Drosophila melanogaster: one gene and its partner. The protein of the gene in region 1 interacts with the protein of each later gene in a pairwise test. Each region holds a gene or a part of one and is shown on either strand. Other genes may lie near its edges.

Region 1 (13,838 bases):
AGGAGCCTCTGCATCCGTTGGGGCAACCCTCTTCTTCCTGCCCCTTCGCATGCAACAGCAAATGATGAGCAGAATGAGGAGCAGAAGCAGGGTCAGAAAGGCGGCAATGCACCAGATCAGTGTCTCATCGTTGTCGCACTCGCGGCACTCTTCCACTTCCTCCGGCCGACTCTGAACCTTATCCAATCCGGTAAGCCATTCGTCCTGGTGCATTGGCTCCGGCCCCGACTCCTCGACTGGCCCTGAAGCCTCCTGCCAGTGAATAGCGGAGCGACTCATCTTGCGGGAGTCCTCTTTGGGACAGGATGGTGATCCCTGCCCGTCATTCTTATTGGTTGGCGCCCGGGCCTCCTCCTCCGCATTCTTCGCTTCTTTCGACAGCCTCTCCTGAATCTGCAGAATACCGCCCAGACCCGGGTAGAATACATCATCGCCATAGTGCATTTCCAGATTTTCCTTTATCCAGGCGAGCAACTGGCGATTGTAATTAGCCTGGCTAATGCCCTGAAACCGATGACAGTTGGTTAGGGTTTGGAAGAACTTCACCACGACAAATTCCGATTTGGGAGAACGCAGATTGTAGATGCGTCGCTTTCGAAAGGGCAAGTATATGTTGCCCATATAGCCATTCTCATCGAGCGTCTCCAGTCGAGGCAGGCTCACAATCATGCTCCCTTGATCCGGCTCTTGGGAAATGCATGTTTGATCCAGTTGAGCACAGCTGGAGGCATCCTCCTGGGAATAGCAGCTCTTGGGCAGCTTGACGGGTTCGATCTTTCGTACCTTGAACTGCGACAATATATCCTTGTCCGGAGCTCGCCACCCATTTCCGTTCGTATTGAGCGTCGTTTTGCACTGCTGATAAATGTTCACCAAGCGCTCCACGGTGTTCAGCTTGATGCGTCCGGCATAGAAGGATAACTGGGCCATGGGCACCAGATAGTAGCGCAGATAGCCACCCAGGGCATCGTAGAATGCTCTCTGCATGATGAGCCGCGTATCATCGTCTGACATTCGCTTCACGATCTGGTTAACAGTATTAAAGTACCGGAGAAGCATGTAGACAAGGCTGTCGGTGAGAAGGGATTGTGGAAAGGATTTCGGCACCAGCAGCTCGAAGTCTTTGCGTGCAGATATGATAGCAATGTCCTCCGTGGAAAAGCAATTCTTGCGGTAGTTGCCAAACAGATTGGTGCCCAGGAATGAGTCCGATTCTGTGGTACTCCTTGTCGCCTTTTGCAGCTCGTTGGGCAGATCCTTAAACCATTCATGCTCTTGGTATCTGCGCGGCGGGGAATAGGGAGGATTGGTCACCTGTTCATCGACCGTCTCGATCAGGCCATTGCGGTAATCCCGCAGCTCCGAGCTGAGCATGGATTGCAGGGTCAGTTCGTTTTGGAAATCGTTTGTGGGCACCTCCAAAGTAGCCAGGTCGATGCTGTATATGGGACAACCCCCGGGTGCCAGAAAGAAAAGCAGCCAGGAGAGCACATGAAGTTTCATTACTCAGTTAATCAGTTGTCAGTTGTTTTGAAGCAAATTTCTGCGCCGGCCGAGTCTTTAATCTGGGAACCACCGTTCCTCCATTTGCAGCCCGGGACACGGCGGAAATTGAGCGCAGTAATCTGGTGAATATCTGCAAGCTGGTGGTCAAGGAGCTGTTGGAGCAGTCGCTGCGTTATGGTCGCATGCTGGACTCGGATCACCTGCCGTTGCAGCATTTCTTCATCGTCATCGAGCATGTCCTGGGGCATGGATTGCGCCCGAAGAAGGGTCTGCTGGGACCGAGGAAGGAATTGTGGGATCTGCTGCAGAGCGTCGAGCATTACTGCCCGGAGGCGCAGGACATTACGGCGAGTGTAAGGGATCTGCCCACCGTTCGTACCCACATTGGCCGCGCTCGAGCCTGGCTGAGGATCGCTTTGATGCAAAAGAAGCTATCGGATTACCTGCAGGCACTCATCGAGCACCGGGAGGATTCACTCTTCGACTACTATGAGCCACATGCTCTGATGATGAGCGATGAGGTTAGGCTGCGCGCAATCTTCTCAAGGAATCCCTTTAACCCATCCATCTCTTCCTGCTTCAGATCGTTGTGATAATGGGCATTTTGGTGGGCTTAAACGTGATCGATTGCAATCTGTGCGTCAAGGAGGAGGATCTGGACTCACAGCAGGGCGTCATCGACTTCTCGTTGTACCTGCGTTCAAGCTCGAGAAACGCCGATGCGGCTCCAGAAGACAGTGCTCCGCCTGCTCTGCTGGATGCCACTGGGCAGGGCAACATGATTGCGGTGCTGGACCAGAAGAACTACATTGAGGAGCTCAACAGGCATCTAAAGTGGGTTTCGGCTGTTGTTATGAAGTGCCTCCCCAGCTAAGTTATTCCTCATTTTTCAGCGCCACTGTGGGCAATCTGCAGGCCAAAGTAGAGTCCTTAACGACCACAAATGCCCTGATGAAAGAGGATTTGGCAATCGCTCGGAATAGCTTGTTGGCCTTGCAGGCCGAGAACCAGGCCATGCGACAGTCCACGTCGGCAGGGGACAACAATTCAACTGGTTCGGGTGGTTCATCCGACAAGGACAAGGAGAAGGCGTCCGAAGAGCTGGTTGAGGAGCGTCGCAAGAACAGCGAGCTGGAGAAGGAGCTCAAATTGCAGGTGTCCCTCAAGGCGGAATCGGACATGGCCATGAAACTGCTGGAGAAGGATATTCACGAAAAGCAGGACACGATAGTCTCACTGCGCCGCCAGCTGGACGATATCAAGCAGATCAACCTGGAGATGTACCGAAAGCTGCAGGTGAGTAGTCATCATCAGGGTGGGTCTATTTTGGTTGGAGTCTGGGTAATCTGCATTTGATTTCCTGGGCGGACAAACAAAATGACTCATTCTCATTACACTCATTACACTGCTCACAACTCATCTATCCACATTCATTCGCTCATCTGGTTCGTAGCTCTGGTATCATTTCACTTTGTGTTTTAAGCTTTGGTTTATAGTTTAGTCATTTGCTCCAAGTAAATCGGTTTAAGCCTTCAAGTCAAAAAGTAATCCCGTCTAAAATTTAACCAGGAATGTGAAGATGAACTCACACAGAAGGGCGAGATGGTCTCGCGCCTGCAAACGAAAGCCTCACAAATTGGTAACATTTTACAATCGCTAGAAAAGAAATACGAATCGAAGCTCATCGACCAGCAACACCATGGACCAGGATCGGGATCGGGCACTGGAGCAGGAACTGGAGCTGGGAACGGAGCCATTGGCGGAGACCGATCGCCGAACACGCGGCGACAGCAGAATCTGGAAAAGTTCGAGGCGCTCACCAAGAAGCACAAACAGGACGCTGGCCCGCCCATGAAGCGTATGCATCTCAAGATGGACGCCTTTCCGCCCTTCGATCCCAGCAAGTATCGCAAGTCACCGCGCCAGCCGGATGCGCCCAACACGGAGGAACTGCAGCAGAGCAAGGATGCCAAGACGCCCACGTCCGCCAAGTCCCTGAACGATGAGCTAGCCGAGGCGGCGGCTGCGGTGACCCAGCACTTTGGGGTGGATGCATCCCAAAGCGATTATGTCCTGTGCCGCGAGCAGGCCGCCGATGGAGAAACTTAAGCTAAGCTAAGGCTAAATAAGAATACTTAAGATACTTAATTTATAAGGCCAGTTTCGGTTTTCACAGAATGAGTTCTACATAAATGTATTAACTTGTTCGTTTTTTTTTTTAATTGAAATCTAATCTGAAACTAGTTTAATATATTTACTCAATGTATTTAGTGCCTGACTGCATTTAAACCTAAGCATAAATTCATTTGTTCAACTATTATTTGGCTTTCTAAAGAGATCCTCTTTGAAATAATGATCTATGTAATGTCTGATCCAAAGATCAGTCCACTAAAGTTAGCATGTGAAAATCGGAACGGCCTGCATTGCTCTCAACATTCCAAGGACCTGGATCGCCACTCAAAGTCCGGATCCAGGTGCCGAAGGGAAATCAAACTGCTTAACAAGACTCTCAATTCGGGAGACCACAACTAAATGAACACCATAGACAGTGTGTACCATATATAGGATGCCTTTACTCCGTAGACCAGATCCTTTTAGAGGAAAGTATACCAGATACCAGAATTGTTTTGAATAACTTATGTATGCAACCTGTTAGCTAAATTATCTACCCAGAGTCCCCGTAAACAAAGATTATATATGTACGATTATATTGTAACCATACGTCGTTGTATATATGTATAGTGTGATTAAGAGGCTTCAGATGTTTATTATACATATGTATGTACGTATGGGATACCCACGCAATCGCTTATATTGTAATTATACACTCAGTCTAGTCAAATACAAATAATAATATTATTGTAATTATATACTATGAATAAATATCGAGACTATATGAATCTACAAATCCATGCAATGTACTATACGCGTTGGAACTTCTGCATATATTCTAATCCACGTACTCCTCCAAATCGAACCCAGAGAAATAAAACTTATCCGAACCTCAAGTCTTTCATTTTCCACCATACTAACATCGAGATTAAAGTTAACGACGACAGATTACAACAACGTTGGTACATCCGATTATTTTCTTCGTTGGCAGGACTGTAAGGCGTCGTTAACGCACAAAACGGAGCTGATGACCAAGTTGGAGGTCCAAAAGGAGGACATGGCCAGCACCATCGATCAGCTGGAGAAGAAGTAAGATGGCGGGGAAGGTACTGATCCGGAGCTAATTTTGTTAGCTTCTGGATCATGAAGTTACTTTCCGAATATACGCAAGATAAAGAAATCCTCATAAACCCCTGTTTTTCCCCTCCGCAGGTGGAGTCATGATAAGAGCAACCTGGGGGAGATTCTCAAGACCACGTCGCAAACACTGACCACCCAGGTGACCGCCAGTGAGGAGCGGGCTGCCCGGGCGGAGGCCGAGTCGAGGATCGAACGCGAGTGGCGGATATCGCTGCAGGAGAAGGAGCTGAAGCTAAAGGAGAAGATAGCCAATCTGCAGGGCTGCCTCAAGGAACTGTCGGAGGAGAAGGAGAGGAATGGCAAGCTGAAGGCTGATCTGGACAAGGTGCGAACGCAATGGTCGGAGGCACAAACGACACTGGAGGAGCTCGGCATCCAGCTGAGCGTGAGCAAACTAAAGGTGTCGGAGATGCAGGATCAGGAGCGTCGCCAGCGCCAGCTGCTCTCCGGCTCCGCCCAATCGCTGCAAGCCATGCCCGAGGCGGTGGGTAGTCCGGGGATCTGGGCACCGGACTCCATTGCCACCCACTGCACCGCCTGCGAGCGGGAGTTCAATCTTACGCGACGGAAGCACCACTGCCGCAGCTGCGGCGAGATTTTCTGCAAGGCCTGTTCGGAGCACACGCTGCCCCTCCTCAATGCCCAGGGTCAGCCGGGGAAACCAGTGCGTGTGTGTGACAATTGCTATGCCGCCAAATGATGATGTGCTCTGCATGCTGGACATGGGTGACTGGTTCGACTAGGAGTTGTGGGGGCGGGCGAGATTGAATATTTATAAGCAAACATCCTGTTCCATTTAATGGTAATATTGTGCTCGTATCGTATGTAATAATAATGAGATAATTGAAATATTCCTAAATTTTATTGATGTCAACCGCCCCTTCAAGAATCGCAACCTTTGACCACTTGACCTAATGATTAATACCCTTTTTGGGGATATATGTATATTATAGTACATTTATGCAGTTGTGTAAACAAATTATTAAAATTGTGTTACAAAACTTATTAAACTAAACAAACAAACGTTGGAAAATCATTCATAACTATTTAAAAACCATCGAAATGCTTTTCAAAAACACAAAACATGTTAAGACTACTGGGCAGTTTGGGTCGCTCCTGCTGCTCGTCAGCCAAATCGGGCTTCAAGATCCAGCCAAGTTGTATTTCAAAGATTTGGTTTGGTCCGATGCCCAAGGATTCGAATTGGATTAAGCCAGGTCGACTTCACTACATCGAAAACGATGTGGAGAAACAGGTGGACATTATCAAAACCATAGATGGTGTGGTCGTGATTCTGTACAACAAAGCGAGGGAAAAACTAATCTTCGTGCGTCAATTTAGGGGAGCAGTTTACCAGGGAATACATTCGGCTGGATCACCAGACATGTCCAAGGGAGAAGCTGATCTGGAGCAGTTTCCTCCCGAAGTAGGAGTCACTTTGGAACTTTGCGGTGGCGCCGTGGACAAGGACAAAAGCCTGGCGGAGATCGCCAAGGAGGAAGTCCTCGAAGAGTGCGGTTACGAGGTGCCCACCGAATCCCTGCAGCATGTCTACGACTATAGGTCGGGTATTGGTACCTCAAGTAGTGCCATGTCTCTGTTCTACTGCGAGGTGTGTGATGCTCAGAAGGTCTCGGCGGGCGGTGGCATTGGAGAAGAGCGAATCCAGGTGCTAGAAATGTCCTTGGAGGAGTCGAGGCAGCTGGTCCAAACTGGGGCGACCACCAATGGTGGACCATCCTGTTTGCTGGGTCTGCTTTGGTTCTTTCAGCACAAGGCACCCAAGGTTTTAGCTTAGCATAGTAGGGTTAAACACTTTAAATATACTAATTAGCTAATATATTAATTAATTTATTTTGCTTGTTGTAACGAACTTTTCAAATTCGAATAGTATTACCATCTGCTGCCTGGCATTAAACGTCAAAAAAAAGCTCTCCCGAGATAAAAGCTGCCATCTGATTGTGGCTACCCACCGCCGGCTGGAGCTTTCGCAGTCAGCTGATTGCCACTGCCGTGTTTTCGTGCACCAAGTCCACTTTTTCAGCATGGAGAACGTTTCCAAGATTTGGCTGGGTCCCCTGCCCCAGGATTCGCCGTACGTAAAGCCCTTCCGGCTGTACTACGTCCAGAATGGCGTGGAGAAGAACTGGGACCTGCTGAAGGTCCACGATAGTGTGGCTATTATCTTGTACAACACTTCTCGCCAGAAACTGGTCCTGGTCCGCCAGTTCCGACCCGCCGTCTACCACGGCATCATCTCCAGCGCCAAGGGCACCTTCGATGAGGTGGACCTCAAGGAGTTCCCGCCCGCCATCGGTGTCACCTTGGAACTGTGCGCCGGCATCGTGGACAAAAACAAAAGCTGGGTGGAAATCGCTCGGGAGGAAGTGGTCGAGGAGTGTGGCTACGATGTGCCCGTGGAACGCATTGAGGAAGTCATGGTCTACAGGTAAATGGGTGTGCATATATTGTTATATAAATAGAATAGAATATACAATTTTAAATATCTTAATTGATTTTTCAAAATCCATCCTTCACAACTTGCTTGATGCATAACCAACTCAATCCTTTGCAGATCTGGAGTTGGTTCATCGGGTGCCAAGCAGACCATGTACTACTGCGAGGTGACCGATGCGGACAAGGCCACAGGTGGTGGCGGCGTCGACGACGAGATCATCGAGGTGGTGGAGCTGTCCCTGGAGGAGGCCAAGCGGATGATCCAACAGGGAGCCGTCAACAACAGCCCGCCCAGCTGCCTGATGGGCCTGATGTGGTTCTTCGCCAACAGGGCACCCGGTGCGAAGGCCTAGAGGCGAACGCTGTTGCTGTTGATTCACCCAGATAAGCGGCGGCCGTGATAAGATGATAAGATGATAAGATGCGTCCGCATCCGCAGCGTTGCCTTATACACATCTTTTAGTCAACACCAACCATTTCGAATGCTTTCCAACCGAGCGCATTGTGAGTGCGCCTAGCGCACACGATATAATACTGAAATTCCCGTGCCTGTCGAGGCTTACCTTATGATATGTATACCGTGTAATATGTAATAAACCCTGGCCAGCTGTCCGCTCATGAATTCGGTCAAGACGTCTCTCCCACTTCCATCTCAGCTGCGAGTTCCACTCCCACCGCGGCTGCCAAGTGCATAAATCGCCTATAAATCAAAATGCCGCAAGACGCTGCTGCCGCAGAAGCTCCAAACGGGTTCCGCTTTTCTCCGATCTAAACCTATCCGATCCGATGCGATGCGATGGGATGGGACCTGGTACTGTGGAGGACCCATACCCATACCCATACCCATCTCATCCCATCCGCAGCGAAGCGAAGCTGTGTGCCGTTTTTGGGCCCCTGTCGGGCAGCGTGTTGCTGGGATCAGGTTACTTATTTATACACGGCCAGGGACTTTAGCTTCCATGAACGCTCCTGGTACTCCTGATCACAGAGAAAGAAATATCGCGCCGCTAGGAAATCATCCTTATATCTATCTATACATTCATTCGTTCATTCATTCAATTTATTAGCTTAAAATGATATTATTTTGTCTTTTTGTCTTATTGCTTGATATTATAGTTTGTAAAATCCATTGTAAAGGCAGGAAATATGAATCATCACTTTCCAAGATGATATATTTCTATATATATACTTTCTAGTTGTTACTGATATATACAATACTTTTGTATTTTCATTTATCACGCAATTATTTACCGTGCACCAGCATCTATCCATCCTCCAGCCTCGGATCCATCCTCCATTTCCATCCATCCCGGTTCAGCGGTCATGGCGAGTGGCGGCGTGGAAATTTATTTACCCCAGAGCCATGATTTGGCAATATTTCAACATTGTAATAGAATTTCTTTTGGCCTATTCAGACTTGACTTCCTTTTCGGCGGATCTCCCCTGCTCCAACGCAATGGTCCCTGTACCATATACCCCTGCTCCAGCTCCAGCTTCAGCTCCGACTCCATCTCCCAAATCCCCTCCTGCATCCTTCGCATGTACGTGCATTCGATTTGCCGCTGATAATCAAGGCCGGTTCTTTGTTGTTGTCTGCTGTTCGCTTGCGTGTTAACCTCATGTAAATTATGGACTCGAGGCGGAGGAGCCGTCGGCAGCGGAGTCAACAAAAATGCGAGTGTTGAAATTATATTTAATTTGCATATGTTGGCGGACGACCGGGCTGTCCAGGAGTCCCCTTAGGGGAATCGAGGATGCAAATGAGTTGAGGGAGTTCCACGTGGATCAGGTGTAATGTCGACAACAGGAATTTGTCACGAAAGCAGTCGCTCTCAAACTGTTGCCACAGTGGCTCTACAAAGGTTGAGGTTTGTGAAGGACTGAACTGGTTATGGAAAATGAAATGAAGAAGAATTATGAATTATGGGTCTAACATATTTCGCTTCTTTAATTCAATGTATAATTTATATTTTTTTATGAAAACCAAATTTAGACTGTGTTGTTCATTTCAGTTCCCTTGAAACCTCCAATGAATGAAAGCGCGTCTCCTTTGCACTAATTTAATGGCCGTTGCGTATTCCAGAGCGATTTCTTTTGATTTGTCTGGCGACAGTTTCGCCGGCAGCAGGCCATTACGGCTGCAGCTATCGCCGCTGCGTTTGCAGCAGATGCTGCTTCAGTTGCAGTTACAGTTGCAGTTGCTTCCTCATCGTACTGAAACCCATCTGTCGCCTGTCACCTGCTGCCGTTTGAAGTGGTCGCTGTTGCTCCCCAAGGTGCAAATCGAAGTCATCACACAAACTGATTGCCTTTACACTCAGAAAAATATCAGTATAAATATAAATTAGTATATGCTTGAAATGTATGCAGACAAATCAGAAAAATGTATAAGAAAGAGAACCCACTTTAAATTATTTAAACACAATAATGTATAAATTTAAATGCTATCTCGTTTCAAATAATTCGTAGTTATTTTCCGTGTGACTTTACCTTTTGGCTTTGCTCAGTTGCGCAAGTCCGAAGTACAGAATTGCAATTATTTCATAATCACGTCCCAATTTATGTGCTGCCGGAGCAGCCGGAGCGGCGATAGCCCAGAGATTGCCATTTCGAATCAAAGCGTCTTTCTATTCCTGCGCACCCAACTGACCTCCAGTGGCTGGGGGGCTATAGCTTTGCAGCTCTGGCCCCTGAGAATCCAATCCCAATCGTAAAATGGCGTCCGCACATGGTCGGGGCATGGTCGGATCTGGGGGGGCGGTGGGGAGACCGCTCAGTTCTGGGATGGGATGGGAAGACGGAAGATCAAGAAATCGCGATCATGGCTCGGTTTCCAGTGCGCATGCGAAAATTAAGTGCAGCCAGCAACAATCATAACAACAACAGCAAAATTACCTGTAAAACAGTTATGGTTTTTGTTGTTTCTGCTGCCGCTGCTGCTGTGGAGCAATAATGAAATTTTTTATCGGATTTGATTATAAGTTGCCCAGCTACAGCCCGGCCACCCCGCCGTCGTAATCTGCCAATAAGAAGAAAAGTAAGCGAGGTAGGTACACTGGGAATAATAGTTCGAAAACAACCACTTTATATTCTATAGAAAAGTTTCTAGTACTAAGGTATCACATGATGTCTCATAATCATGTTCCTTTTTGGTTTATTCTCTTCAAGGCAAGTGAGTAGCATTTTCTTTCAGTGTTCCGTACTGGTAGCTGCCTAGCAGGGAATGGAATTGGGTTGGCCATTGGCGGGGATTCGGAGGAAACTATGTAGCCGCCGCTCATTGATTCCGCCTACCGTCCATTGGCCGTTGTCCGTCGTGATGCACTTTAATGAAATGAAATCTTATACTATCATGAGGCACATGAACTGTAAAGCCGAAGCTGTAGCTGAATCTGCAGCCAAAACCAAAACCAAAGACTCCGAACTGCAGTCCGCGGCCGCAGCTTTGCCCACTCAAAATGTATAATTATCTGGCGGTTTTATCCGTTTGCCAATATTAAATTTCTCATCACGCCCAGAGAGAGGAAAATGCAGTTGCAGTGGCTGCTCCCGAAGCTGCCGCTTCACCTGGGATTCGTTCTTGTCGGTGCCTACAGGTGGGTGGGGTAGGGTAGCAGGAGGCATCGGAGGAGCTGCGGAGCGAAAGGAGGTGGGGAGGGATGTCCCGCTTCATGGGCACGGGCGCCGTCAAACAATTAATAAAAGGCCAAATGTCTGCAATGAAATTTATGCGGCTGCCTTTGCCATCGAGTTATATATAGGCTTCGGATTTCGGCCCGAAGTTTTGCTTTTCCGCTCCTGACGCGCCAGTGGCCAAAAGGAAAAGGCTCCGTTGGCGGCTTTACCGTTGCACTGTTCCATGGACTTTCTAAAATCGATGCCACCAGCTTGGGGGTCGAGGGCTTCTTGGGGCGTTGTTCCTGCACCTTGCTCTCTGGTCGCCGAGATCCGGAGATATGTGCTCCGCAAGGTGCGGCATCCGACAGATTGGGCACAAGAACTGCCACAAATGTGTGTCAAGTGGCTACACAATGCCTGAAAACAATACAACAGGCGAACATAATTATGGTTATTAACAGCGAATCAGTTTAGAATTAATAATTATTGAAGTTCGTTTTTGCACAGCAGTGGAAATAGCTAGTTCGTGTTTTAAGTCTTTTGATTTCGCCATGAGAAACGAAATTAGCTCAGTGCCATACAAAATACACAGAGCAATGATTGAATGTTTTTTTGCGTAATTAAACTATTGCTTTAACTATTTATCCAATTTGAATTATTTTATTATTTTTTGCCAGATTTATTTTTCTCACAAGAGCAGCCTTAACATTAATCGCCACTCCGCTAACCTTTAAATATTGATCCATTTCCCAGCCTCACTAAGAAATTCGGCACTGTGGTTGGCCCCTTGCACGTGTTGTCATTTTAATTGCCTGCCAAGTGCGAAGAAATATTTTTGGCCAAATGCGTATAATTGAAATTAAGTCATAAATGGTTAAAAATGCCGACCGAGCGCGGCATATTGGACATGGCTAGCAAATACTAATGAAGCCCGGCCAAGTCGGCCCAGATGGCGAAAAAATTTCACACTCTTTGCCTTGATTTATGACACTCCGACATAGCACATAACACACCACGGACAACTTCCGTGCAAGGAAACCCGTCGTCCAGTGGCTCCAAAACCGCCACACCTGCCCAACTGATTGATTTGCAGGCCTTTTGCACTCGAAGCCAACTTTAATTACGCGCACTTTTTGGCCTCCTCAAGTTACCAAGCTCTCTTTGTCTCGATCCATTCTCTGTTTCTCCAATGATTTCTCTTGGCCTGCTCTTAAATGGGTTACCTCTTTTGCCGTCGAAAACTCTCTTAGCCACTCGTTAGAGCCGACTTAGATGTGTGCTCCGCCCCCTTGGAGCGCAATTCGAGAAACCACAAACCGCAGGCCGCCAAAAAAAACCACAAAGAAAGTGCCAAAATGGGGCGATACGAATTAACTTTGCCGTTGGGCTTTAATTAGTTGTTTTAGTTAAACTGGCAGCCACGTTGAGTGACTCATCTGCTGCTATCTGTGTGGTCCGAAATGTGGATGTAAATTCACAAGGACTGGAACTTAATTAGCAATGATTATTCAGACATTTCTGCCGTATTAACCATTTAAACCTATTCCCTATATTGTTTTCATTTTCTAGTCTATATTAAATTATTACTGAAAAGCATTCCTTTTTCATAAGATATATCTACATCGAGATTTAGATGATTCGGAAACCTTCTTTTTTTTTTGGGTAGAATTTCGTTCGAATAAGTCACGTGAGCATTTAAAGGGTTAACAAGAAGGAGCGACCACACAATTAAAAATCATTTGCATATCAAACAATAAAACAAGCAATCCAACGAGAAGCCCACCAGATACAGATACATCGATGACTAAGGACGGCCAGACTGGGAAGTCGGCAAGGGAAAAGTGAAACTTGGCCTGATCTGGCTGATAAGCCGGAGGGAAGGCCGCCTGCACGGACACACACACACACACACACACACCGAAGTAATGGCGCATTAAAAGTCAAAGTCAAAATCAACAAAGCACCGAGATGGCCTAAACAAGATCCTGATAAGGAACCAATACCAATCATGATGATGGCAAGATGCGGTCCGCGGATCGGGGATTCGGGTATTCGGGCAGCTGCCACCGGCGACGTCCGGCGATCCGGTGATTCGGCGGCGATCTCGACGACAACGTTGACCGCAACAACTTTGTTGCCGCTTGCCAGTTGTTGAACTTAACGCGAAATCTTTCTGTCTGGGAAATTAACTACAGTGAAGCCTTATTCTCAATCAAAAAACATCTTTATAATGAATGGTCAATCAGAGTTTTACTTATAAATCGAAATTCAGATCAATTTTATTTAGGCCAAATCTCAAGAATATCATACAACACATAGAGTTCAACTCGCCTTGGTTCCACTGTCTATAAAAATCTCAGGAAAAAAAAGAGTGTATCTTCTAAACGGCAGCACATTTCGCCAGGGGCCAACTTCCACTGGCAAGAAGTCTGTAAATGTCTGAGACTTCGTATGCATTTTGAAGGAGTCGAGTTGATCCGAGGTGAGCTGAGCTGAACGGACAGCGATCGTTGTTTCTGGTCGGTTTGGCTGGGTTATCTGATTTTAATTAAACGGCATCGCATAATAAATTATCTTCATTAGGGTTGAATCGCTGCGATGGGAGCCTCATGCCGAAGCCGAAACCGAAATCAAACAGAATCGAGTTGGAGTCTGGAGCCTGACGAAATATTCGAGCAATCGACTGGCGGAGCGATCAACCCCTTACTTACTACCACACTCCTGGCCGCCCGGACATCTCCTCCCAACCCCCATTCCTATGTGGCCATAAATCAAAACAAGCCCATCCACTGATGCATTGCGTGTGTTCCACTCCTAGTCGCTCCCCTTTCGGCCATCGATCCGCCGTGGACTCATGTTCATTAATGAAAAACCGGACCAACTGTCAAACAGAATCTGCAAATCATTCGACGCGACGGCTGTGCGCCGTTGACAGTTGGAAAAGCGCTGCCGCCGAGTCCGGGAAAAATCAACACATGCTTAGATAATAAAAAAAAAATGGTTAA
Region 2 (17,861 bases), on another chromosome or scaffold:
AATTATTCGCATTCAAAAGAAGGGTTTTTAAATAACTTTGTTTTGTTTTTGAAATTGGGAAAATACTATGGTGAACCCAAGTTGTTCAGTTTACATTTCCCGTTGCTCAAACTTATTTACCAATTATTATATCATGGTCAAATATTCTTAGAACGAACGGATGACTTAATTAATGATAATAATAATTTTGAATCAAATTTAAAGCGCTAACGGTTCGGCGAAGTGATATCGATAACACGCGCGGCGTTGCCACCTCACGCCACACAATTTGACTTTTGCGCTAACGGAAGAGGAAGAGATCGCGAGAAACGACGCGTTTAAAAGAGACTGAAATTAATTCGAGAATCAAGGGAAATATATAACAATAAACGCCTGACAAAATGCTGAGATCGTCGGTGCCCGTGCAGCTGACAAAACTGCGAAATAGCGCCGAGGCCGTGGCGTCCATTGCCCGCGAAAAGGGATCCCAAGGTGGCCAAGGACAAAAGCAACAGGTGGACAAAGAGCTATCCACCATCATGGATGACTTGCAGCGGGATTACGGGAATTACAAGTACACGGTATACCGGTGCGCCAGTAAATTTGTGGCGCTGCAAAAGATATTTCACAGTGAGTCAGTCGCGTAGGTGGTCCATTCGAAGGAGTCCCCAAGGATTAACCTTCAAATTGCAGCTGGAAAAATCCCCTACAAGCTGGTTTTGGCCATTTTGGATCGCCATAACTTGAGTGGTGGCCTGGAACTGATGGTTCCTCCATTCCAGTTGACCTCCCTGCTGCACGATGTATACTTTGCCTGCGAGAAACTAGGCCATTTCAACCAGGATGCGAACTATAAACTGGACAGGGCAACCGGGCTGTTGGCCAACTTCTTCTGGAATGTCTACGATCCGTGGGTTGAGTTTCTGGCATCTTAAGAATATGTCTGATATTTGATTGGTTTCGCTAGGCAACGCAGACACTCCATATCCCTGTTAGAGATCAGGATCACCTTCATACTGCTGTGCAAGCTATATAGCAGCGATCACCTGGTGGGCGACATCTTTGGCCTGCTGGCCGATCCCAAGTCGCAGATCATCTCCAGATATGCATTCGAACAGCTCCTAGCCACGCTGAGCAAGTTACTCAGCTATTTGGGCGAGGCCAAGGCCTATGGCGTCCACAATCTTCCGTTGGCTATGGAGCAGTGCTTTGCCCGCTGTCCGCATGGCGTTGGTGGACTGACCGAGCCGCAGTTCCACAAACTCTGGACGGGAGCGGGTGTCCAGACGAGATTCCTGATCTATGGCAATCTGCTGGCACTGGTGAAACGCATCGAGGACACCGAGCATTTGATTCACAGTAATTCTTGTGCCGGCTGCCGCAAGGAGCACATTGTGGGCATACGTTTCCGGTGTCAGGTGTGTAGGGATATATCGTTGTGCCTGCCCTGCTTTGCAGTGGGCTTCGCTGGTGGTCGCCACGAGCCGGGTCATCGGATGTGCGAGGTCTTCGTGGAGGATCAGCCGCCATTGCGTTGGACCCGCCACCTGGCCAGGCTGTGCGGCTGGCTGGTGATGCCGCGCAAAACACAGGAGGAGGAGCGTCGCGGCTTCTGTAATGCGCAGGAGAGTGGGCCCGCCTTGGGTCAATCCGCTGCCACGCCCATTCCCGCAGAGACGCGCAGTGTGCGCAGTCAGTGCCAGGAGAAGGACCGCACAGTTGTCCTGCAGCAACAGCAGCAGGAGCTCTGCTCCCTGACGGGTCTAGCCAGCGAGGCGTCCAGCAGGCTGCAGTCCATCATCGATCGATTGCTTTTGCAAAATGCGTGGGTGTTTTCCCTTCTTTCGCCACACTTGTTAGCCAAGCCTTAAGGTTCTCTTGCATTTCAGGAAGCTGGAAACCCAGCTGCAAACAGTGGCCACCGCATCTAGTTCGGAAATATCGCAGTTTCTGAGCGCCCATCAGTGCTTTCTGCTGCAGATTATCGAGGATATGCGACAGCTATCAGTGAGTTTTCCAAACATTCGGCCCATTTAAGCTGAGCTAACTCCATTTATATACACTTGCAGCATGCCTCAGCGGTAACTTCGCCGCCACCTGCGCCAGCTGCCCAAGTGGCGCCTTCAGCTGCGCCCCTAGTCAGCTCCACGTTCCTTAGCTCCAGCACGCCTCAGCGACAGATGCTATTCGACATGTATGCGCCCGTGGGTGCCAATCTCACGCACTCCAGTAAGAAGAGAACCTTCAACAGAGCCATGAGACAGCTCCACTAAGTTAATCGTTTCTTGTAGTAAATGGCGCCGACTTGAATCGCAGCTATCTGGAGGCAAACAAATCGGATTACTCGCTCAACGACATAAGCTTGTGGTTCGACCAGCGTCGCTCGAGTGTCCAGCCAGGACAAGGACCTGGTTCCCTGCCGGCTCCTCTGCCGCTGCCCATGCCGCTGGGTGCTCTACTGGAACAGCAGCCGGCAAACGGCGGAGATGGCCGCGACACCGAGATGGTGAACTTTAAGCTGCTGCTGCACAAGGTCAAGGAGATCGTCGAGGACTCGTACAGCGATAATGCCGAACTGTCGGCGGCCACGCAAAATCTGGAGAACGTTCTCGATAGCATCATCAAGAGCGAGGAGCAGCAGCGGCGCATCAGCACGTGAGGATCCGGATCGGATACCAACTCCCATCGATTCCAGCCAGACCAAGTCCACTTAGCTTTAAGTTGTAAAGTTGTTCTAAAGTAATCGTGACAAAATGACACAACCGAGTCATGCATTTATTATATCCTTCTTCCTTTTCCCATGTGCTTTAACATTCGCGTAAATGCTTTAATTTGTAAACTTACAACTCTGACAAGAATGCAATACAACAAAATGTTTTTATAAAAATATACAATGCAAAAAACACATTGTTAACAAAGCATTTACATACAAAATATCAACTTTGTAGATTTTCCAATGCAAAGAGAAGAAAAAAAAAACGCATTTACGCCCCATTGTCATCATCATCATCGGTGAATAGCATAGAAGCCAACACATCGCTGGCCATTTGTGCCTTGTGGAGCTGCGTCAGCTGCTCCCGGCGCTGCTCCACACTGGCTGCCGGCTCACTCAAAACCTTCCAGGCGTCCATCTCCTCGAACAGACTGTTTAGCAACTCCATCTCCATGTCGGCAGGCGACATGTTGTGCTCAGCGACCTCTAGCACATTGAGGTTGCAGTGCAGCTGGAGGAGATCGCGCGTCAGGCGATGCAGTAGCAGACGCAATCGATCGTCCGTTCTGGCGTACACATGCCAATGCTTTCCGGGATCGTCGCGAAGCAGCAAGGTGTCACACCACTGTGACTGCGGCTGGCGATTGTAGAAAATACGCTGGACAGGATCGGCGGCGATGTTGGAAGACTGAAAGTGAGACCCAGGCTCACTGTCGTCCAGCAAGTCGGAAGCTGTAAGGGATTATGAGTTAAAAGGGACAACAAGTGGTCTTGACAAAGCTACTCACTCGGCTCCTTGTTTGCTTCCTGGGCTTGGATCAACTGAAACTGCAGCGTGGAGACGAGTAGCTGCTCGAATGTCGTGCAATCCTGGGCCGACTGGAACTCCAATTTCAGGGAGCAACGTGCCGTGTGCGTCATAATAACGGCCAAAAAGTCTTGGTGCAGCGTGGCGGGCGAAAATGTGGGTGCCAACGATTCTGTTTTATCGAGCAGTTTCTTCACATCGAAGGTAATGAGATGGATTTGCCTAGGGGATGCATCCTCGCCCATCTCGTACGTTGCCATCAATATGAGTTTCTCTGCCTCAAGAAGATCGACCAGACGCAGGCTCACTACCATCGCGGCAGATCGTTCCGGCGGTAGTATTCTTTCCTTCTCCACCGGTCGCCATTTGAGACGCCTGCTATGCTGATCCTGGCAGGCCCAAAACTGCGCCAGCTGGTCGTAGTCCTCGGGTGGTTGGCCATCCGCCTGCAGAGGCAGCTCGTACAGGCGGTGCTCCACGCTAAAGTCGGTGTGTGGTTCGATTACAACAATCGGATACAACTCCTTGACTATGGTGAGGCGATTGGTGCCAGTTATGTTGACTAGCAGAGTGCCACAAACAAAATAATCGCCGCAGATCCGAGTCCATACATCGCCGAGTCGTCGGAGCGGCTGCTTCTCCTCAAGGAGCAGCGAACGCTGGCCCGGCGTGCCGAAGTATAGAAGGTCTTGGACGTGGGCTAATTCCTTCTGGTTTTGCATTCGCTGGCTGTCGAGCTCGGCTTGGGCGCGGTGCACCTCCTGCAGCAGGTTCTCGAAATCCTTCGCGGGCAAGCCCGCATTTTTGGACGTGCTGGGCTCCTCATTTAAGAAATCCTCCTGGAAATCACAACGCTGACGCTTGCCATTGCCGAACTCCAGTTCCACAACGGCCTGGAAGGAAATGGGACCTTCGACCATCTGGTAGTCCACCACATCCTTGTGATCCGCCACCAGTTCGAAGTTGGCCCCGTGATCCTTGGGCCTCTTTAGGACGACGAGATGCTTCCAGCACTGAATTAACAGGTAGATGCCCTCCCGTTGCCACACAAACTTTCCAAATTTGAGGGGCAAATCCTCCGGCGGATCCAGCATGCTCCAGTCCACCTTTTCGTCAGTGGGTTCCTGCTTGGACAGAAAGGGACAAACCGGTCCGTCGTAGGCCTCCAGTTGGGTGGCTATTTGCTTTAGTTTCGTGACCTTCAAATCGATGTAGTGCACCAGATCCTTGCGCCGGAATTCGTAGAACTTTAGGTTTCTCGCTAAAACCAATGTAGTGGGGTCATCCCGCGGTCGGCCCACGTGAAGATTGGCGCAGAAGGCCAACCGGGCCGGCTGGAGCAGCATCTCCGGCACATTCTCCTGGACAAACGGCAGCATGGATGCGGAAGCCACAAGATGGATGTGGCGCCCTTGACTCGAAAGCCCTTCGAATCGATAGCTATTGAATTCAAGTAGTAGTTATCGATGCGGTGAACGATATTAGGCTATTTTGAAATGGAAAAACCAATATTAATCGAGTTTCGAATGCTCCTTTTAGCGAGAGGTAAGTCTTTAACACCGCATAAACACAATCAGTGTTGCCTAACCAATCTGTGCCCTCCACTTTCTCTCATAATCAAGCAATTTCTCATAAAAAACGCACATCGATAAGCTGATAACGTTGGCCCTCGACTAACACCGATTATTCAACAAGTTGTGTCAATCGGCGGAGCAGCTGATCGTTGTAAGTAGCAAGAAGAAGACGCCACACAAACATTGCACTCCGCTCCGCCCGCGCGTTCTCATTTCCCATCTCTCTCACTCTGTCTCTCGCGCTCACCGTCTCTCTCTCTCGCTCCGCCTCGCAACCCCCACAGCGCTCCACAAACCGGGCCCCACATTCTTGTGTGTGATTTCTGGTTCAGGTTCTGATTTCCCGCGTGTCCTTGTGTGTGTGCGCGCTGCAGTGTCTGTGTATCTGTTACTGTTGCTGCATCTTCTGCATCAACTGCAACGTTACCAAAAATCAAAAGACAATCGCCTGCAAAAGCTTAATTTTGTTGCTCAGTGTTTTAAGTATTAGCTGTTTGCAAGCAGCACACACACGTAAGAAACAACAAGAACAACGATAAAAGACAACAACACAAATGCAGAGCATTTGAAGCGCAAACACACACAAGCATTCGGTGCGGCTGTAAGAGCGAGACACAAAATAAGGCTAATTTATAAAAGAAAAGTGTGCTGCAAGGAATCGATAAATAACGGGAGTCGAGGAGCGGAATAGGAGTAACCAATAAATATAAATACTGTAAATGCGATATTAAAAAGCGACAACAACAACAAAAAGCAGCTGTGAATCACTCCGTCCCGCTCCCCCGCGCTTTCAGTCACTCCAGTTGCTCCACTTCCATATATATTCGGATTTGGACTCCGATTCGGATACGGATTTCGCTTGGTTCGATTCTGTTTTCTTCGGATCGGTTTAGCTTTGCTTGCCAACTCGAAATCCCACAAACATGGTGAGTACTGGCAGATTATTGCCGCCGTTTTCGAGTTGTTTTGGCCAAAAGCGGCAGTGGCAACCAAACAGCAACACCCACACACCACACACACACGTACAGTGCAAGCTTCTTGGCCAGGTTTTGAGCTCCTCCATCGCCGCAGTTCCAATCCGAACTTCGTGGTAAACAGTTGTCCGCTGAAAACGCAGTGCAGCCTCCGCGTGAAGAACGCTCTGAATATACGGTTTCAAAGTCCTAAGAGGTTGTTTATATGAGTCTAAGTACAGCTACAAGATATATTTAAGCTATGCTTTTCGAAACTATCGTGTAGTTGTTCCAAATACAGTGAAACCTCAATGTTCGGTTTTTGAAGTTAAAAAGAAATATAAACATATATTTGAAGTTTACAAACTGTACAGTATTAATTTGAGCAATAAACCCAACAGTCCAGATTTGAAGTTTTTTTGACATGTTTCAAATTTTTAATATTCTAGCATAGTGTAACGTAAAACATGATTAAATGTTTAGCAACAGCAAAAAAACTACATTTTTGCAAATAGTAAACAAAATTTTAAGCAGTTAACCGAAAAAGTTACAGACCATAGATGTTACGCGATATTTGGATACAGGTTTTAATCCAGATTAGTTGCAATCCAGATTCCTAAAGTCCTATGTCAATCGCCGTAATCTTCGATTGAAAAAGGCCGAGAGTTGCTTTTTTATGTGGTAACATTGGTAAAATCTTTCATGCCATTCCACATATGGTTGTTTGGAAAGGGTTAGGTAACTGGATTCTTGAGCACTTGTCTCACCCCAGTGGGCAATCAAATTCGCCTGTGGGAGCAGCACTGGCGATCCATCTGTGCATGAATCCCCGCCAGAAGCTGCGTTGTGTGTCTACCTAGCGGGAAATGCTTACTAAAGATTTAAATTCGTTTTCGCAGAGCCCGCCCATCGTCACGCGACGGAGTGCGCAGCAGGCAAAGATTCAGACACGGGCAATGGCCAGTAAATCGAAGACGGGCACGACAGGGGCGGCGACGGCGGCCGGCGGCACCGGCAGCAGCAGCGGCAGTATCAGCGGCGGATTTAATGCCGCCGATCCGCGAAAGTCGAACAAACCGAACGCAGCGCTCTTGGAGGCGAAACGTCGAGCTCGGAACAACATGCTCAAGAATCAGGGCTGCGGATCGCAGGAGAGCGTCACGGATATATTCCAGAATGTGAGTGCTATCTGACTGACCTCTATCCTCTGTCCTTGTGCAATCCTAACCAAGTGATATTTAATCGTCGCCGACGAAAAGGCTGTCAACAGCAAGAGTCTGGTGCGGAAACCAACGGCACTGATCTACGATGAGTCCATGAGCCAGCACTGTTGCCTGTGGGACAAGGAGCACTACGAGTGTCCCGAGCGCTTCACACGAGTCCTGGAACGGTGAGTATATTTGAAGAAAACGGTACAAATTAAGCTGATATGTATTCCCTAATCTCCTCATCCAGCTGTCGCGAACTAAATCTGACGGAGCGCTGCCTGGAGTTGCCCTCGAGATCGGCGACCAAGGATGAAATTCTGCGCCTGCACACAGAGGAGCACTTCGAGCGGCTGAAGGAGACGTCCGGGATTCGCGATGACGAGCGCATGGAGGAGCTGAGCTCCCGCTACGATTCAATTTACATTCATCCGGTGAGCAAGCGCATCCAACGGGGAACATGGAACAGTGCATCCCAGTGCCTGGCTCCAAATTAGCTCATTTTATTGTATTTGCACTTGATTGCTTGCGGAGATTGCGTTGTTTTTAATTCGACGGCTTGATAAATGCAAATTGGAGCAGATTAGATTAGATGCGACCCATTGCACAGGTACAGTGCGGTGCATAAATGTAAATGGTTGAGTGACTGGCATAAATTATGCAAATGATTATACCTCCGAACTTAAAATGCATTTATTCCCCGATTGTAATTCTAATATGTCTATTCTTGTTGTGATATTCATTATCTTTATATTGCGTGCAATCTTTATTTAGTTTGCTCAAACTTTAGTTATTAATTATTACGACTGCCCGCAGCTTTTATTACTTTATATTTCATTAGCTAAATCCTCCAGCAATCTGAAGCGCACTGTAAATTCGTTAAAATGGGCTGGTACTCATACTATTACATCCTAGATAAGATTCCCGCTGTTTTACTAGCACCGAACTTGTTATATATAGAACACTGATAACCTTATCCGCCTCCCACCCGCAGTCCACATTCGAGCTCTCCCTGCTGGCCAGCGGCTCCACCATCGAATTGGTGGACCATCTGGTCGCCGGAAAGGCGCAGAATGGCATGGCCATCATCCGGCCACCGGGTCACCATGCGATGAAGGCCGAGTACAACGGTTATTGCTTCTTCAACAACGTGGCACTGGCCACCCAGCACGCCCTCGATGTTCACAAGCTGCAGCGCATCCTGATCATCGACTACGATGTGCATCATGGGCAGGGAACCCAGCGGTTCTTCTACAACGATCCCAGGTAAAGTTGGCAATATATGTTTAGTATTCTCATTCATCGTGTGTGTGTTTCAGGGTGGTTTACTTCTCCATCCATCGCTTCGAGCACGGAAGCTTCTGGCCGCATCTGCACGAGTCGGATTACCACGCCATTGGATCGGGAGCGGGCACGGGATACAACTTCAATGTGCCGTTGAATGCGACGGGTATGACCAATGGCGATTACCTGGCCATTTTCCAGCAGCTGCTGCTGCCGGTGGCCCTGGAATTCCAGCCGGAGCTGATCATCGTTTCGGCTGGCTATGATGCGGCGCTGGGCTGTCCGGAGGGTGAGATGGAGGTGACGCCGGCCTGCTATCCGCACCTGCTGAATCCGCTGCTGCGACTGGCCGATGCCCGGGTGGCCGTCGTTCTGGAGGGCGGCTACTGCCTGGACTCGCTGGCCGAGGGTGCGGCCCTAACCCTGCGCTCCCTGCTCGGCGATCCTTGTCCGCCGCTGGTGGAGACAGTGCCACTGCCGCGTGCGGAACTCGCCCAGGCCCTGCTCAGCTGCATTGCCGTGCACCGACCCCACTGGCGATGTCTGCAGCTCCAGCAGACCTACGATTGCGTCGAATTGCAGGATCGGGATAAGGAAGAGGATCTGCACACGGTACTGCGCCATTGGATTGGTGGACCACCGCCTATGGATCGTTACCCTACGCGCGATACGGCCATTCCGCTGCCGCCGGAAAAGCTGACCAGCAATGCCGCTCGTCTGCAGGTGCTGCGCGCGGAGACGAAGCTATCGGTGCCGTCGTTTAAGGTGTGTTATGCCTACGATGCCCAAATGCTTCTGCACTGCAATCTCAATGATACGGGGCATCCGGAGCAGCCGTCGCGCATCCAGCACATCCACAAGATGCACGACGACTACGGTCTGCTGAAGCAGATGAAGCAACTGTCCCCCAGGGCGGCCACCACAGACGAGGTGTGCCTGGCCCACACTCGCGCCCATGTGAATACAGTGCGTCGATTGCTGGGCCGCGAGCCGAAGGAACTGCATGACGCTGCTGGGATCTACAACTCGGTGTATCTGCATCCGCGCACCTTCGATTGCGCCACCCTGGCCGCCGGTTTAGTGCTGCAGGCGGTGGACAGTGTGCTGCGTGGCGAGTCCCGCAGCGGCATCTGCAACGTCCGTCCGCCGGGCCATCATGCCGAGCAGGATCATCCGCACGGCTTCTGCATTTTCAACAATGTGGCCATTGCGGCGCAGTATGCCATTCGGGATTTCGGTCTGGAGCGTGTGCTGATCGTCGACTGGGACGTCCATCACGGCAATGGGACGCAGCACATTTTCGAGTCCAATCCCAAGGTGCTCTACATCAGCTTACATCGCTACGAGCACGGCTCCTTCTTCCCGAAGGGACCCGATGGCAATTTCGATGTGGTGGGCAAGGGAGCCGGCAGGGGCTTCAATGTGAACATACCCTGGAACAAGGTGGGTTTTTGCACACTTACGGGCCCAACTCATTCCACTCACTTTGCAGAAGGGCATGGGTGACCTGGAGTACGCACTGGCCTTCCAGCAGCTGATCATGCCCATTGCGTACGAGTTCAATCCGCAGCTGGTGTTGGTATCCGCCGGATTCGATGCTGCCATCGGCGATCCCTTGGGCGGATGCAAGGTGACGGCCGAGGGCTACGGCATGCTCACCCACTGGCTGTCGGCTTTGGCCAGCGGCCGGATAATCGTTTGCCTGGAAGGTGGCTACAATGTGAACTCCATTTCGTACGCGATGACCATGTGCACCAAGACGCTGCTGGGTGATCCCGTGCCGACGCCCCAGCTGGGAGCCACGGCGCTGCAGAAGCCACCAACGGTGGCCTTCCAGAGCTGTGTGGAATCGCTGCAGCAGTGCCTGCAGGTGCAGCGCAACCACTGGCGCTCGCTGGAGTTCGTCGGACGGCGGCTGCCGCGGGATCCCGTTGTGGGCGAGAACAACAACGAGGATTTTCTTACCGCCTCCTTGCGACACTTGAATATCTCAAATGACGATGCTACGGCTGCGGCGGGCGGACTCGCCGGCGATCGTCCCGACTGCGGCGATGAGCGGCCCAGCGGGAGCAAGCCCAAAGTCAAGGTAAAAACGCTCAGCGACTACTTGGCGGAGAACAAGGAGGTACGAGGACAGCACTGCGCTTATCCCTCAGCTGGCAACTAATCGCTTCTTTTCGTGCCTTTCTTCATCTCGATCCCATGCCCTGCAATCTCTGCCCCTCGATCCCGTTCCCGATCCCCATTCGCGTGTCAGGCCCTCGAGCAGAGTGAGATGTTCGCCGTGTATCCGCTCAAGACGTGTCCGCACTTGAGGCTCCTACGTCCGGAGGAGGCGCCCCGATGTAAGCCAATGCAGTCCGGAGAAGATTCCCTCCCCTTTTGGTCAAGATAATAGCACTTCTTAAGTGTGAACAAGTTGTCAAGAAAAATTCAGTTATTGAATCTCTTTGTATCTTTGTATTTGTATGCTGTGACCCATAAAAATAATTGGAAAAATGGTTTTATGACTCAAGTTAAGTCTTCAATAACGTATTTAACATTTTATATAAATGGGGAAGTTGTTTGAAATGCATATAGTGAAATACCCTATAAATCTGAAAAAATCGGGAAATACTTTACAGGAAGTGCTATTATTTTGACCAATTTTAAGGACTCTTCTTTCTTATAATGTTCATCGTTTTCTTTGCTTTTTGTGCTTAAAATTAGCAATTGGCTATTTTTCTAAATTACTTATAACTGCTTAATGGTTTATGTGCATATGGCATGCAATCTTTTTGTGCTTGGCGGCTGTTTTTTCTTTCAGTATCCTTGCGTTTATTGCATTTTTTGAAAAGGTTTTTTGCTTCAATCCTTACGTTTTAGCAATGTAACTTTGGGTTTTAACCAAAAATCTGCCGTGTGATTTGCTTTTATCTAACTTTATCTTAGTTTAAAACTTTAGAACATTTGATATATCGCCTGCATGTGAACAGCTTCTTGAGCTATACGCTACTCAATCCTGACACAACTAACATACTTTCTCAACGATTTCCCATCCAAATCAGCACTAGACAGCGGAGCGGAGTGCAGCGTTTGCGGATCGACGGGGGAGAACTGGGTGTGCCTGAGCTGCAGGCATGTGGCCTGCGGTCGCTATGTGAACGCCCACATGGAGCAGCATTCAGTGGAGGAGCAGCATCCGCTGGCGATGAGCACGGCTGACCTGTCTGTGTGGTGCTACGCGTGCTCCGCGTACGTGGACCATCCCCGCCTGTATGCCTACCTCAATCCGCTGCACGAGGACAAGTTCCAGGAACCGATGGCCTGGACACATGGGTGTGCGTGGCGCGAGGATGGCTGCTATGCGACGGGGCCCGATGGGCGAGATGAGGATGACGATGATGATAATGGCGCCGGTAGCAGCATTTGCCTGCGACTGGAGCGCAACAACTGACCCTTAGCCATCCGCGTGCTGGACGCCCTCACGGACTACTTGTGCGCGCTCTGCCCGCCACTAAGGCACCTAATCCATTTCCTGGCCGAGCACCTCTGGCCGCTGCTGGAGCGCATTTACCTTAACCTGTTGCACTACTTCCTGGCCCACTGAGCACCCCATATCCAATCCTCTAGCCCGCACCCACAACTGATCTGAAAACTGCTGCAACTGGCAGCCGGTCGGTCATCCCCTGGAGATCCTGGCACCAGTCACCATACCATTTATACAAATGCAAATTGTTAAAGTTATCAACTAATGATCTAATAAATAATTCAAGTGTTTTTTGAGTTTATTTTCGAATACAGTTTCTAGTTTCGTTAATGAGATCGAACTTCTTAAGTTCAGAGGTATTTATTCATAATTCTGTTCATCCCAGCCAAATCGACAGTTCATCCACGGTTTTATTTAATCTATATTTCTAGATTAACTCAATATTTGTTGAGTCATAACGTTGGCTACTAAAAATTACTTCTTTTTCTGCTGCTTTGCCTTCCCCTTAGAAGCTGGAGTGGGTTGCTGCTCGCGCTTCATTGGCTTCCTCTTCCGGTGGCCGTGATCACTGGAGACATCGCTGTCGCTGTCGGAGAAGTCGTCGTTCTCCTTGTCTTCCGATGAGTTGCTTTCTTCTGAGGATTCCTCGTCTTTCTTGTTCTTCTTCTTTTCCTTCTTCTTCTCGGCATCCAGTTTCTTATCCTGCTCGTACTCGATGGTCACGAATCCCCGAGGTGCTGCCGGCTTGGCACTTTGGTCAGACTCCACTTTCGCCTTTGGTTTCTCCTCCACTTTGGTGCGTTGTTCCACCGGTCGGACGTTGCCGAACTGGCGGAGATCCAGCAGGCCCAAGTCGGTGGGTCGGCAGTCCATGAAGCTGCGGGCAATCTCCTCCAGCTTGCGCGTTTCCATGTCGATCTTCCAGACTTTGATTTGACCAGCGCTGGAAAAGATAAATTTGTATATATAAAAACGAATAATGTGATGGGTGTTCTTAGTTATCTGGGTGTAGCTTGGATTTTTATAGAATAACTCACATGGAGACGGTGGCCAGGAATTCGTTCAGATAGGCGATGGCCTTGACCCTTACCTCGTGTGCAAGAATGAAGGTGGGCTGCAAAGAAAGCGCATTTAAGTATCATAGATAACAGGCTGAGAAAGTGCAATTCTTACTGGTGTATCATCCTCGTCCTTGAGGGAAATCCAGGCAATGTTGCCGTTGTCCAGGCCAGTTAAACACTCGTTCCCATCCAGCCAGGTGATGCAAATGGGTTTCGACGGCATCTCAATGCGACGCATAACATGGGCGTTCTCGATGCCCCAGATCTCCAGAACCAATGGACCGCTCAGTGTGAAGTGATCGCCCTGCTTGGACCACGACAAACAGCCCGTTTGGAAATCCAGCGTAGCCTTGTTCTTTAAATTGGTCTTGTGGGCGACGCAGCCATTGACCAGATTCCAGGTGTTCAGCACCTGGTCGCCGCCCAAAGATAAGGCCAACTTGCTGCTGGGATGGCAACTGACATGGGTGACGGCCTGGCCGGCATGGGCCTTCTGCCAATCATACTCTTTGGTCCAGCTGCCCACGCGTGTGGCGATCATATGGCCATCATCGCTCCCGGAGAGCAAGAGCGACAGGTCAGGCGTGAATTTCAGTGTGTTCACTCTTCCGGCGTGCGAGAGTATGATCTGCGACTGTTTCCGCGTGCGCATGTCGTAGACGAAGATCCTGCCGTCGGTACCGCCACTGGCCACCCAAGGCCACTGCACGGCCAGCGATGTAATGGATCTTGCATAGGAGCTGTCTGCAAAAGTCTGTTTCAGCTCGAATTTGACGGAATCGGTGAAGCCGTCAGTCGGCGATTTGATGAGCTTGAAGCCCAGCAGGAGCTCCTCGTTGGTGGCCTCTATGATCTCCATTTCCGGCGGCATGGCAGCGGTTTGAAATGAAAATGGAAATGGAAAATTAAATGGATTTGTCGAATAAGTCACTAAATTCTATTCAAGAATTTATTTCTGCTGTCAAAACGTGTTCCAGCGGCAAGGACTATTCGAAGTTAGAGGCGGAGAAACTTTTTACGCCAACATCGATGACATCGATGTTTTCGAAATATCAGAAACATCGATGTTTTTCTAGGAATGTTAAGAACAATTGCTGGAGGATGAAAAGGTTGTCACCAAATACTGCCTTTTTATTTAAAATATTAAAAAATAATCCTTAAATAAAAAAGATCAATGATCGAAAAAGATTAAAGATAAAAAAGATTGTTTATATTTTATAACAACATCTATGTTTTTCGCCAAAAACATCGAAACATATAAATAATTTGAAAAATGGTTTTATGTCTCATGTTATATATTCAATATCGTATTTACTATTTTATTTAAACGGGAAAGTTGTTTGAAATGCAAATAGTGAAATACCCTATAAATCTGAAAAAAATCAGGAAATACTTTACAGGAAGTGCTATTATTTTGACCAATTTGCTTAATGATTTATGTGCATTTAGTATCTTGTGTTTATTGAGTTTTTTGAAAAGTATTTTTATTGAATCCTTACTGAATTGAAATCCATGCGAAAATTACGTTTTAGCAATGTATCTTCGGGTTTTAACCAAAAATCTGCCGTGTGATTTGCTTTTATCTAACTTTATCTTAGTTCAAAACAGTAGAACATTTAATATATTACCAGCACCAGTCACCCTACCATTTACACAAATGCAAATTGTTTAACAATTTCAACTAATGATCTAATAATTAATTTAAGTGTTTTTTTTAGTTTTTTTTTTCAAAAACAGTTTCTAGTTTCGTTAATGAGATCGAACTTCTTAAGTTCAGAGGTATTTATTCATAATTCTGTTCATCCCAGCCAAATCGACAGTTCATCTATGGTTTTTTTATCTATATCTCTAGATTAACTCAATATTTATTGATAGTCATAACGTTAGCTACTAAAAACTACTTCTTTTTCTGCTGCTTTGCCTTCCCCTTGGAGGCTGGAGTGGGTTGCTGCTTGCGCTTCATTGGCTTCCTCTTCCGGTGGCCGTGATCACTGGAGACATCGCTGTCGCTGTCGGAGAAGTCGTCGCTCTCCTTTTCTTCCGATGAGTTGCTTTCTTCTGAGGATTCCTCGGCTTTCTGTTGCGCCTTCTTTGCCTGTATCTTGTTCTTCTTCCCCTTTCCCTTCTTCTTCTCGGCATCCAGATTCTTATCCTGCTCGTACTCGATGGTCACGAATCCCCGAGGTGCTGCAGGCTTGGCACTTTGGTCAGACTCCACTTTCGCCTTTGGTTTCTCCTCCACTTTAATGCGTTGTTCCACCGGTTGGACATTGCCGAACTGGCGGAGATCCAGCAGGCCCAAGTCGGTGGGTCGGCAGTCCATGAAGCTGCTGGCAATCTCCTCCAGCTTGCGCGTTTCCATGTCGATCTTCCAGACTTTGATTTCACCAGCGCTGGAAAAGATAAATTTGTATATATAAAAACGAATAATGTGATGGGTGTTCTTAGTTATCTGGGTGTAGCTTGGATTTTTATAGAATAACTCACCTGGAGACGGTGGCCAGTAATTCGTTCAGATAGGCGATGGCCTTGACCCTTGCCTCGTGTGCAAGAATGAAGGTGGGCTGCAAAGAAAGCGCATTTAAGTATCATAGATAACAGGCTGAGAAAGTGCAATTCTTACTGGTGTATCATCCTCGTCCTTGAGGGAAATCCAGGCAATGTTGCCGTTGTCCAGGCCAGTTAAACACTCGTTCCCATCCAGCCAGGTGATGCAAATGGGTTTCGCCGGCATCTCAATGCGACGCATAACATGAGCGTTCTCGATGCCCCAGATCTCCAGAACCAATGGACCGCTAAGTGTGAAGTGATCGCCCTGCTTGGACCACGACAAGCAGCCCGGTTGGAGACCCAGCGTAGCCTTGTTCTTTAAATTGGTCTTGTAGGCGACGCGGCCATTGACCAGATTCCAGGTGTTCAGCACCTGGTCGCCGCCCAAAGATAAGGCCAACTTGCTGCTGGGATGGCAACTGATGTGGGTGACGGCCTGTCCGGCATGGGCCTTCTGCCAATCACCCTCTTTGGTCCAGCTGCCCACGCGTGTGGCGATCATATGGCCATCGTCGCTCCCGGAGAGCAAGTGCGACAGGTCAGGTGTGAATTTCAGTGTGTTCACTCTTCCGGCGTGCGAGAGTATGATCTGCGACTGTTTCCGCGTGCGCATGTCGTAGACGAAGATCCTGTCGTCGGTACCGCCACTGGCCACCCAAGGCCACTGCACGGCCACCGATGTAATGGATCCTGCATGGGAGCTGTCTGCAAAAGTCTGTTTCAGCTCAAATTTGACGGAATCGGTCAAGCCGTCAGTCGGCGATTTGATGAGCTTGAAGCCCAGCAGGACCTCCTCGTAGGTGCCCACTATGATCTCCATTTCCGGCGGCATGGCAGCGGTTTGAAATGAAAATGGAAATGGAAAATTAAATGGATTTGTCGAATAAGTCACTAAATTCTATTCAAGAATTTGTTTCTGCTGGCAAAACGTGTTCCAACGACAACGACTATTCAAAGTTAGAGGCGGAAAAACATTTTAGGCCAACATCGATGTCTTCGAAATATCAGAAACATCGATGTTTTCGGTGAATCAGCGATGTTTTTTCATCTCTATTGCTCATCGGAGAATAAAAGCGTATAAATTGTAAGTATAAATTAATTTTTATATATTCTAATACAATTATTAATGGCGTATTGCAAATTTAATGTGACTTGTTGGCTGGCGTCGTGGCTGTATAAATGTATTAGTCTCGTTCACTTTTCCATTGAATTGCATTATTTGGTATGATTTCCAATATGTATGTTTATATATGTTTTCTAAGAACAATTACTGGACCAGCGAAAAATGGGAAGGTGGACACCAAACGCAGCATACTGCAATATTAAAAAAGAAAATTATCTTTTAATCCTTAAAATATCCTTAGATAAAAATAGATTAAAGATAAAAAAGATAGTTTATATTTTATAACAACAACGATGTTTCTCGCCAAAAACATCGAAAACATCGATGTTCGCCAACAGTCTGCTTGCAGTCACTAGCAGTGACGGACCGCACCGTAACAGAGCTGTTAATGCTGTAATCGATAACTTTGATTGGCACTTGTGCGATATCTGACGTTTAATAAGTAGTATTTTGTGATATGTTGCGAATGAAAATTCGCTAATATCTGTATAAAAACAATTGCATTCTACTGCGCGCCGTGTCCGGGTAACTAAGGGCAGTGGGAATCGCGCATAGCCAGCACCGACCGTCATTTGGAGGCGTTGCATCGTCAAACCGGCGAACAGAAATCCAAAGAAAGCGCCATGTCGAAAAGTTCCGGGTAAGTTTTGCCTCATCAAATTGTTTGAAAACAGATATACTAATTGCTTTATTTTCCCGCAAAAGGCGCGATCGAGACAGGGAGCGCGACCGGGAGAGAGAGAGGGAGCGCGACCGTGAGAGAGAGCGCGACAGGGATCGTGAGCGGGACAACCGGCACGACAGTCGCAGTCGCGACTATGATATGGGCAAGTCCAGGAACGGTGGAGGCGGCGGAGCCGGTGGTGGCTCCCGGAACATGCGCGAAGACCGGAAGCGCGGAAAGGACATGATCAGCGATCGTGGAAAACGCGACGATAAGCGGAGGAAGTGCTCCAGGTCAAAGGATTACGAGAAGGACAAGTGAGCATGCGTTTTTCTCTACAAAAATACTGCCTTCAATGTGTGTCTGTGATTGAATAGGTTAAAATACTTCAAAATGTCGAAGGTTAATGTTAACACATTTATAAATGATTGGGTTATGTGTGAAAACGTCACGTTTTCAACCATATGAGATCCAATTT

Evidence for each region.
Region 2: the proteins of CG42813 (region 1) and HDAC6 interact in a two-hybrid assay, tested with the Drosophila melanogaster proteins (one large-scale study listed by BioGRID).

Annotation. Positions count from the first base shown.
Region 1 is NT_033777.3:27,221,437-27,235,274, reverse strand, and holds CG42813 (uncharacterized protein), read left to right. Parts: upstream 1-6,713; 5' UTR 6,714-6,803; coding exon 6,804-7,207; intron 7,208-7,333; coding exon 7,334-7,568; 3' UTR 7,569-8,205; downstream 8,206-13,838. Other genes in the region: CG31068 (uncharacterized protein), read right to left, coding at 1-1,503; CG31064 (uncharacterized protein), read left to right, coding at 1,594-2,027, 2,090-2,340, 2,400-2,802, 4,610-4,707, 4,831-5,458; CG42814 (uncharacterized protein), read left to right, coding at 5,843-6,556.
Region 2 is NC_004354.4:15,328,064-15,345,924, forward strand, and holds HDAC6 (histone deacetylase 6), read left to right. Parts: upstream 1-6,414; 5' UTR 6,415-6,587; coding exon of another isoform or gene 6,588-6,611; 5' UTR 6,612-6,893; coding exon 6,894-7,205; exon of another isoform or gene 7,206-7,286; coding exon 7,287-7,417; exon of another isoform or gene 7,418-7,482; coding exon 7,483-7,666; exon of another isoform or gene 7,667-7,908; intron 7,909-8,226; coding exon 8,227-8,498; intron 8,499-8,551; coding exon 8,552-9,959; intron 9,960-10,008; coding exon 10,009-10,641; intron 10,642-10,773; coding exon 10,774-10,861; coding exon of another isoform or gene 10,862-10,911; exon of another isoform or gene 10,912-11,029; intron 11,030-11,563; coding exon 11,564-11,952; coding exon of another isoform or gene 11,953-12,105; 3' UTR 12,106-12,297; downstream 12,298-17,861. Other genes in the region: dah (discontinuous actin hexagon), read left to right, coding at 381-609, 673-889, 947-1,804, 1,869-1,986, 2,049-2,208, 2,271-2,638; CG9114 (uncharacterized protein), read right to left, coding at 2,964-3,424, 3,481-4,879; CG9123 (uncharacterized protein), read right to left, coding at 12,460-12,928, 13,023-13,099, 13,159-13,917; CG12608 (uncharacterized protein), read right to left, coding at 14,944-15,439, 15,534-15,610, 15,670-16,428; Prp5 (pre-mRNA processing factor 5), read left to right, coding at 17,343-17,359, 17,425-17,700.